Rattus norvegicus: one gene and its partner. The protein of the gene in region 1 interacts with the protein of each later gene in a pairwise test. Links are inferred from orthologs where the notes say so. Each region holds a gene or a part of one and is shown on either strand. Other genes may lie near its edges. The genes, in order: Pex5 and Acot8.

Region 1 (3,906 bases):
ATGGGAGCATTATGAAGATTATGATTAAAAGCGTGAATGCTCACCAAGTGCTTAAAGCAACACCTGGGGGTTAGCATGCATTTCATAAGCATCGGTTATTATCACAATTACTCTCCCAAGATCGTGGCCCAGTAAATCTCTGCTAATCAGTTACTAACCTCCTAGCACAGTAGGAGGTTATGTGTGTGATGGACTTTGAGTGCTTCTGGGAGATGCTTCCCCGATGTTCAGAAATTCAAACCATCATATGCTTTCCTTAAATACTGATTTCTCCAGAGAGTCTCCTGTTTAAAGTATTTCTCTTCCAAGAAGGCATCCTCTCCTCCTTGGTGTGGTTCAGTTTATTGGTTGCTAGGTTTTTTTTCCTTACAATGGCAGCCTGGAAACAGTGGACAGGTCTGGAATTTGTGGTCAAGGAGAATGGGGGTGTGTGTTAGGGCCTCTGAAAGATATTGACAGTGTACTAAAGACAGAAACATTGCACAATATTCTGCCTTGTTCAACCATTGTAGTTATAAGGGCAATTTCTATCTTCCCAGGGATGAATTTACACAGACTGTGTTCCCCGAGGAGGGCTACCTTTGAAATCTTCAGGGCAGCAAAGAACCAAGCTTTCCCGAGGGCGCCACCTACCTGCTTCTTCTCCCGCTACCCGGGCGGGGACCGTCCTGTCTCTCTAGAACCAGTTTCCTCCTAGCCCACCTACCAGCACTCTGAACCCGTCCCCTTCCTTCCCAGGACGTCAAGAGGTCCGTTGGTCTTGGACCTAGGTGATATATCAAGGTTTGTTTTCCAGTGACCTTGAGGTTTGGCACCGGCGCCAGTTCTCTGGCAGATGGTGAAGCCTGAGGCTTAGGTTTATATTCCCTGATCAAAGGTATTCCTTGCCACGTTTTCCCAACTCGGAGCTGCGGGTAATCAGGCCATCACGACCTTGACCAGTAGGAAAGAGGAGAGAGGAGTGACTCACTTCACTCTCCCCATCCATTACCGGCTTGAGGTCTCAAAATACGTTGGACCCTATTTTAGTCACCAGAATTTGTCATCATCCGGCGCTATTTTCTTCTTTACGCAAAAATGGTAGAGGCAGGCCCCTGTCTCCTTGGAGGCTGTGACGCTGTCTTGAAGGAGCATGTTGGAAGGGGGTCAGGCCTAGGAGGCCGAAGCAGGTCACGATTTGACCTCCGAAATCCCCCGGATTTAGAGGAGGAGGAAACCCAGGAGAGAGAGCTGAACCGTGGAAAACCTTGGTTTTCCTCTAAAACCAGAGAAGCCTCTCCTAGCTCCATTCCTTTGAGTTTTCCACTAAATAAATCCCAGCATTCTAAGGACTACTGGAGGACTCCCCAAACCAACTGCCTAGGACTTCCCCTTTAAGGCTCTCGGCTCCGCCCATCACGCTGCGCAGGTTTGAGGCCCCGCCCCTTCGCCCGTTTCCGTTGAGCTGGGCCGCAGCGCCGCGGTCCAGGCCCCTTTAAGGCCGAGTCCCTCCCCCTTGCTCCCGCCCCCTCCCCTCCCCCAGCCCACCCCAGGTACTCCGGCCGGCCGGACGGTGCGACCAGCGGCGGTGATCTTTGGAGCCTAGGGGGCGCGGGTCCGGGCAAGTCCCCGCCGCTGCGGTAGCCTCGTGGGGCGGGGTCGGGGCTGGGGTGACCGGGCTGGGGGCGCGGGGCGCGGGGCACGGGGCGTGGACAGGCGCGGCGGGGGAGGGGGCTCAGGTGACACGAGCTAAGATTGAGACCCGCAGCGCCAGCCTGACCCGGGGTGCGGGTTCCGGTGTGCGGTCGGAGGCGTTCCCGCTCTCCCTTGTCCGGTTAGAGTCGGTGTCTAGTGTTTACGATGCGTTACCCGTGCTCCCCAGGGGTCCAGGCCCGTTTGTAGAGCTGCTGCTGGCGGGTGGTGTCTGAGATGCGGTCCTGACGGCTGCAGGGGTAGCCCAAGCCCTGAAAGCCATGGCTTGGAGTGGGAAGACAGGAGGACACAGCCTCCTCTTGGACGCCAGACCCAGCTGGATGGGGTCCATCCAGGGGGTGGCCCTGGAGGCCTGGCCCTTGTGGAACCGTCGTGGGCCCACCTGCTCTAGATAGGGGCTGTTGGCTTGCTTTGGGAAAGTCTGGCTCCAGGACCACAGTTCTAATCTTCTGTCCATCAGGGAGCTGGTGGTCACCATGGCAATGCGGGAGCTGGTGGAGAGCGAATGTGGGGGTGCCAACCCGCTGATGAAGCTGGCCACCCACTTCACCCAGGACAAGGCCCTTCGGCAGGAGGGACTGAGGCCTGGCCCCTGGCCTCCAGGAGCCTCAGCGGCGGAAACGGTGAGTGTTCTAGAGCAGGAGAGTCCATTCCTTCAGCCTGGATAGCTGCTTTCTCTGTTGTTAAAGTAATAGTCGCCACTCCGTAACACTGGAGTGAGCATTGTGCATCTTTACACAGACGAGGACTAGTATTTTATAGACAAAGAAGCGGAGGCTTGGGCTGGAGAAATGGCTCAGTGGTTAAGAGCACTGACTGCTCTTCCAGAGGTCCTGAGTTCAATTCCCAGCAACCACATGGTGGCTCACAACCATCTGTAATGGGATCTGATGCCCTCTTCTGGTGTGTCTGAAGACAGCTACAGTGTACTTATAGAAATAAATAAATCTTAAAAAAAAATAAAAGAAGCTGAGTCTTTGTGAAGACTCTTTCTTGACTTACCTCAGGTCACCTAAGCAGTAGAGTTAAAGTTGGGTTGTAGCCTCTGGCCTTCTCACTCTGTGTATTGCCTCTTTCCTTCCTGTCTTAGGTTTCCAAGCCTTTGGGAGTAGGCACTGAAGATGAGGTAAATAGAACAAGGTTACTTCCTGTCTTTTTCTTTTTTTGACTCATGGTGATCTTTTCTTTTCTCTTCCTTTCTTTCTTTCTTCCTTTCTTTCTTTCTTCCTTCCTTCCTTTCTTTCTTTCTTTCTTTCTTTCTTTCTTTCTTTCTTTCTTTCTTTCTTTCTTTCTACCTTTATAAGCAGTCTATGCATACTTAACTCTCTTTACCGAATGAGATTTATTTGCCAGTGTTCCCATCTACTTTTTTGGGGTATTTTTCTGTTTTCCTAATTTACGGATAGAATTTTTTTCTTTATTTATCTGTAGTTTTTGTTTTTCTGTCCGACATCAGTGGGCCCTGCCCCTGGCTGAGGCCCCTCTGATCCTAATAGTTCATCTGACCGTCTCTCTGTAACAGTTGGTGGCAGAATTCCTGCAGGACCAGAATGCAACTCTTGTATCCCGAGCCCCTCAGACCTTCAAGATGGATGACCTCTTGGCGGAGATGCAGGAGATTGAACAGTCAAACTTTCGCCAGGCTCCTCAGAGAGGTGGGTTCAGGACCTGGTGAGAAGGGAAGAGGCCAGAAGAGTTTGATTTTGCTGGTGTCGGGGGAACTGAGGTGCAGAGGAGACAAGGGAAGTGTGGTCCAGGAGTGAGCGTGAAGGAATGATAGAAACCTGCTTTCTTTGTTTCTCACTCTTCTCTTGTTTCTCATAAGCCCCTGGTGTGGCAGACTTGGCTTTGTCTGAGAATTGGGCCCAGGAGTTTCTTGCCGCTGGAGATGCTGTGGATGTAGCTCAGGATTATAACGAGACCGACTGGTCCCAAGAATTCATCGCCGAAGTCACGGGTGAGGCTCCTGGGGAGATCTGTTCTGTGCGGTGTCCTCATTCTTCTTGGGAGGGTTCGACTGCTAATGACTTACAGGTTCTTGGTTCATTTCTGTAGGATGTTAAATGTGACTTCTTAGAGCAATTGCAGGTAATCAAAACATAATAAAGAGAAATGTGGGTTTGGGTGGAGATAAAAAGAGAGAGGAAGCGGGGAGGAGAGAATGAACGAGAGCTTAGAGCTGCCTCTTTATCAGTAACTTAAGTTGAGTAGAGA
Region 2 (3,906 bases), on another chromosome or scaffold:
GGTTCCATAGTCTGGAAAGTACTGTCCAAAGAGCTCAGTCGTGGGCTCAGACTTTGGTGTACTCTGACACTCAGTTGGCCTAGATATTGTAATTAAAACTTGACTTGACTATTGTAATTGACTTTCACATTGATTCATACAATGATTAGATTTCACAGCAAAAGTCTGGCCACATGAGCCTTCCTTTTCACAAGGGAGTCAGGGAGCCCTGCTTCTCATCTCTCTCTCTCCCTCCTTCTCTCCCTCCCTCCCCCTCTTCAGTTTTTCTTGGTTCTTTTTTTTTTTTTTTTCCCCCCGGAGCTGGGGACCGAACCCAGGGCCTTGGGCTTCCTAGGTAAGCACTCTACCACTGAGCTAAATCCCCAGCCCCCCCTCTTCAGTTTTTCAAGACAGGTTTTCTCTGTTAGCTTCGACTGTCCTAGAAGTTGCTCTCTAGACCAGGCTGGCTTCAAACTCACAGAAATCTGTCTGCCTCTGCCTCCCGAGTGCTGGGATTAAAGGCAAGCACCATCACCATCCTTTCCCTGTATTTTTTAAGAGCTGATTGTCTCAAACTCATGCTCCTCCTGCCTCAACCTTTTAGCACTGGGATTCTAAACCTGCACCCTTATCATTCTTTCTTTTAAAGTAAAACTAAAAGCTAAATTTATAGTAGGTTGTTTCACCCGAACCCTAAAAACACTGGAGCCTTCCCCAGCTTTTTAGCCCCTAGAGTCAAATGAGTCCGAGAACTACCATCAATAATTCTAACATTCATCCCTGCAGAGTAAAGAAGGCACCTGGGAAGCACCTTGGATAAGGAAGGTGTTTGAAAACGGCTGTATCTGGAGCTCAGGAATCATTTACAAAATCAATCAACGAAAAGAACCAACCAACCAACCAATGAGCACATTACTGCTTTGTAAACGGGAGACTAATGGAGGAAATTGCCAAGGCGTTTGGATTCACTCCCCGACAAGCTTTGTGCTTGAGAGAGATGCTCTCAACAAACAAACAACGGGGAAAAAAAAAACAAAAAAACAAAAAACAAAAAACAAAAAACAACAAGAGGCAGTTAACTGCGAATTCCCAGAAAAGCTTGTGAATGAAGGAGTGGGACCAAGCACAGCGGGTAGCCCAAGCCTAAGCCCGTGAGGTTTCCCTCGCTTTTCAGCAGGCGTGGGCAACGTGGCCCCATGCACGCCCTCCTCCTCCAGGCAGCCCTCCTCCCCACCCTCCTGCCCCGCCCTTACAGGATGTCCTCGCGGAAAGAGGTGCCGTTGTTGAGGTTATGGAAGCGGACCGAGACGCAGTCCCTGACAATGAAGGAGCACCTGGTCTCCTTTTTGTAGGCGCTGAAACACTCCTTGAAGTCCTCGTAGGTCTTAAAGCAGCTGCCTAGCTCCATGGCGGGGTACTGGCCCTCACAGAGCCCAGCCAGAATCACGCCAGGGGTCAGAGGTCACTGGGTAACGGCTGGCAAGGGCCCAGGTGTGGCCCGGACTGAGTGGCTTATTGGGAGCTTGGGAGGAGCCGGAGAAGAGACCGGTAACAGCAACCTGGGGGCGACTTTGCTCTGTGACAGAAGGGAAATGACACTCATCCCTTATTATTCATCTCCAATGCTCCGCCCCTTCGCTGATTCACCCAATCACACGCGGATCTCCTAAACTGGCACAAATAGTCTCCAATCTTAAAATAGATATGGCCACACCCACTCAGAAATTGACAAGCACAACGACCAATCAGAATCTGCGTCTCGCACACGGAAACCCTAGGGATTTCCGGCCCCTGGAGCGACCTGCCGGAAGCGCTGGGTGCCTATATAAGTTTCCGCGTTTCTCTCATCTGCAGCAAGCAGTGAAAATGTCAAAGCCAGAGGACCTAGGAGATGCTAATGGCGACGCCGACCGCGGCGACCTTTCCGGGGACCTGCGTAGTGTGCTGGTCACCAGCGTGCTCAACCTCGAGCCTCTAGATGAAGATCTCTACAGGTAGCCGGCGGCACCTCTAAACTAGGCTCGCACCCTTGTTTCAGTAGAGTCGCGATTACTGCCATCTCCCCGTGAACCTCAATTCTGGGGTTAAGAGTTCAGTGCCCGGTGCATGCTCTGCTGCAGTTAGAAGGCATGTCCCTGACATCCATCCTTGCTCTTCAGGAGGCGATCTGGGGTGGGGGGGAAGTGTGTGTGTAAGAGAGAGGGGGAGAAACAGAGACAGACAGAGATAGAGACAGAGAGACTGTTACTCTACAAGGCAGCTTAATCTGAGTCAATAAAGAAAGGGCAGTGATTTTCCCTGAGGGTAACAGCTGATCGGGGTGTGTGTGTGTGTGTGTTCAAGCCATCCCTGCATCATTAATTGGGGTCTGGTAAGTTATTACTTAACTTGGGGTATGTTTTCTTCCAGGCATCACTGAACTTGGTGATTGCAGAGTGGGTTTGTAACAATTTTTTGTTTTGTTTAGGGACAGGGTGTCACTAAATATAGTCCTGGATGACCTGGAATTCACTATAACCCATAGGGCTCCACCTGCATTTGCCTCCTAAATGCTGGCAGGAATTCACCATCAAGCCTGGCTGGTTGTTTTGTTTTGAGATAGGCTCTCTGTATAGCCCTCCCTGGCTGACCTGGAACTCTGTGTCATCCTGGCTGGCCTTAAACTCACAGAGATCAGGGTATCACTGCCTCCCAAGTCCTGGGTTCAAAAGGTGTGTGTCACCATGCTTGTTTAGTGACAGTTCTGACCTGTACAGTTATTATGGTTTTATCAGAAGCTATCTTTCTTCCAGCTAGATAATTACTGTCTTAGGGCAGGAGTGCTTTTCAAATTGTATTGTAATGAAAAAAGTGACAACCTCCGGGCTGGGTGCTAGGACTCAGGGTTCAGGCTCTAGCACTGGGCAAGGCCTTTCACCTAGAAAGCTAGACCAATGTGCATCTGCATTAAATTTCACAACCTCAGACTCTGACAATTAGACCTTTTTTTGGGGGGGGGGAGATAAGGGTAATCTCGGAGTCTTTTCAGCTCTGAAACCAGTTCTTGTAAGAACTGCCTTGTCAGGTTAAGGAGTGCCAATGGCAAGCCTTCATCATATGATCCAGCCCCAGATCTGTTTTTTGGAGTTCCTCACGTCTACTCAAAGCCTCAGTAAACTTCTGGTCTCTCCCTTTCCCTGGTTTGGGGTGGGGAAGAAGCTGTGGACTTGAAACCATCCAGGATTGGTAATGGTTGAGTTGTGTGGACTTGCTTCCTGTACTCCTGCTGTAAACGAGGGAGTTAGCTCGTTCTATTTGACTGAAGTCCACGGAAAACTCGGGTAGATGTGAAGACTGAAGGTTTATGCGGTGATGTCAGAGATGTGAGAGTGGACTCCTCGGCCTTGCTCAGGTTCTGAAAAAGGACCCAAATACCCTTAGATCCTTTTGAGGCTTATGGGGTTCAGAGCACCCTCAGTCTTTTCCACTTTCCTCTCCCCACAGAGGAAGGCATTACTGGGTACCTACCTCCCAGCGGCTCTTTGGGGGTCAGATTGTGGGCCAGGCTCTGGTGGCTGCAGCCAAGTCCGTGAGTGAAGACGTCCACGTGCACTCCCTGCACTGCTACTTTGTCCGGGCAGGTAAACCCCGCACCCTGGCGCCTTGCTTGCAGCCCCCCTTGGTGGCCCAGTGGTTACTTCTTGCTTCCTGGCTTTGAAGGCTGATGCAAGAGAAAGGGGAGAATTAGAGAAGAGGATGAGGAAGAGGGAGAGGCGAAAGGTACCTAGGGGCTGAGCATGTGGCTTAGTGGCAGCACACTTGACTGGCACAGGGAAGGGTTTGTGTTCCATCTCAGGTACCAGGAAAAAGCAGGGGGAGGGAGCCCATTGCTTGGCTCAGGTCTGTAACCTCAACGCCTGGGAGGCTGAGGCAGGATCCGGAAATATC

The links.
Region 2: the proteins of Pex5 (region 1) and Acot8 interact in binary tests that used the Homo sapiens proteins (3 or more experiments, as listed by UniProt). The link is inferred for Rattus norvegicus from reciprocal best matches to the Homo sapiens genes PEX5 and ACOT8.

The regions. Positions count from the first base shown.
Region 1 is NC_086022.1:158,980,257-158,984,162, reverse strand, and holds the start of Pex5 (peroxisomal targeting signal 1 receptor), read left to right. Parts: upstream 1-1,429; 5' UTR 1,430-1,619; intron 1,620-1,666; exon of another isoform or gene 1,667-1,813; intron 1,814-2,152; 5' UTR 2,153-2,168; coding exon 2,169-2,315; intron 2,316-2,782; coding exon 2,783-2,818; intron 2,819-3,214; coding exon 3,215-3,347; intron 3,348-3,517; coding exon 3,518-3,649; intron 3,650-3,906.
Region 2 is NC_086021.1:173,959,736-173,963,641, reverse strand, and holds the start of Acot8 (acyl-coenzyme A thioesterase 8), read left to right. Parts: upstream 1-1,453; 5' UTR 1,454-1,683; coding exon 1,684-1,973; intron 1,974-3,460; exon of another isoform or gene 3,461-3,462; coding exon 3,463-3,599; intron 3,600-3,906. Other genes in the region: Zswim3 (zinc finger SWIM domain-containing protein 3), read right to left, coding at 1,233-1,387. UniProt on the Homo sapiens protein: Catalyzes the hydrolysis of acyl-CoAs into free fatty acids and coenzyme A (CoASH), regulating their respective intracellular levels. Displays no strong substrate specificity with respect to the carboxylic acid moiety of Acyl-CoAs.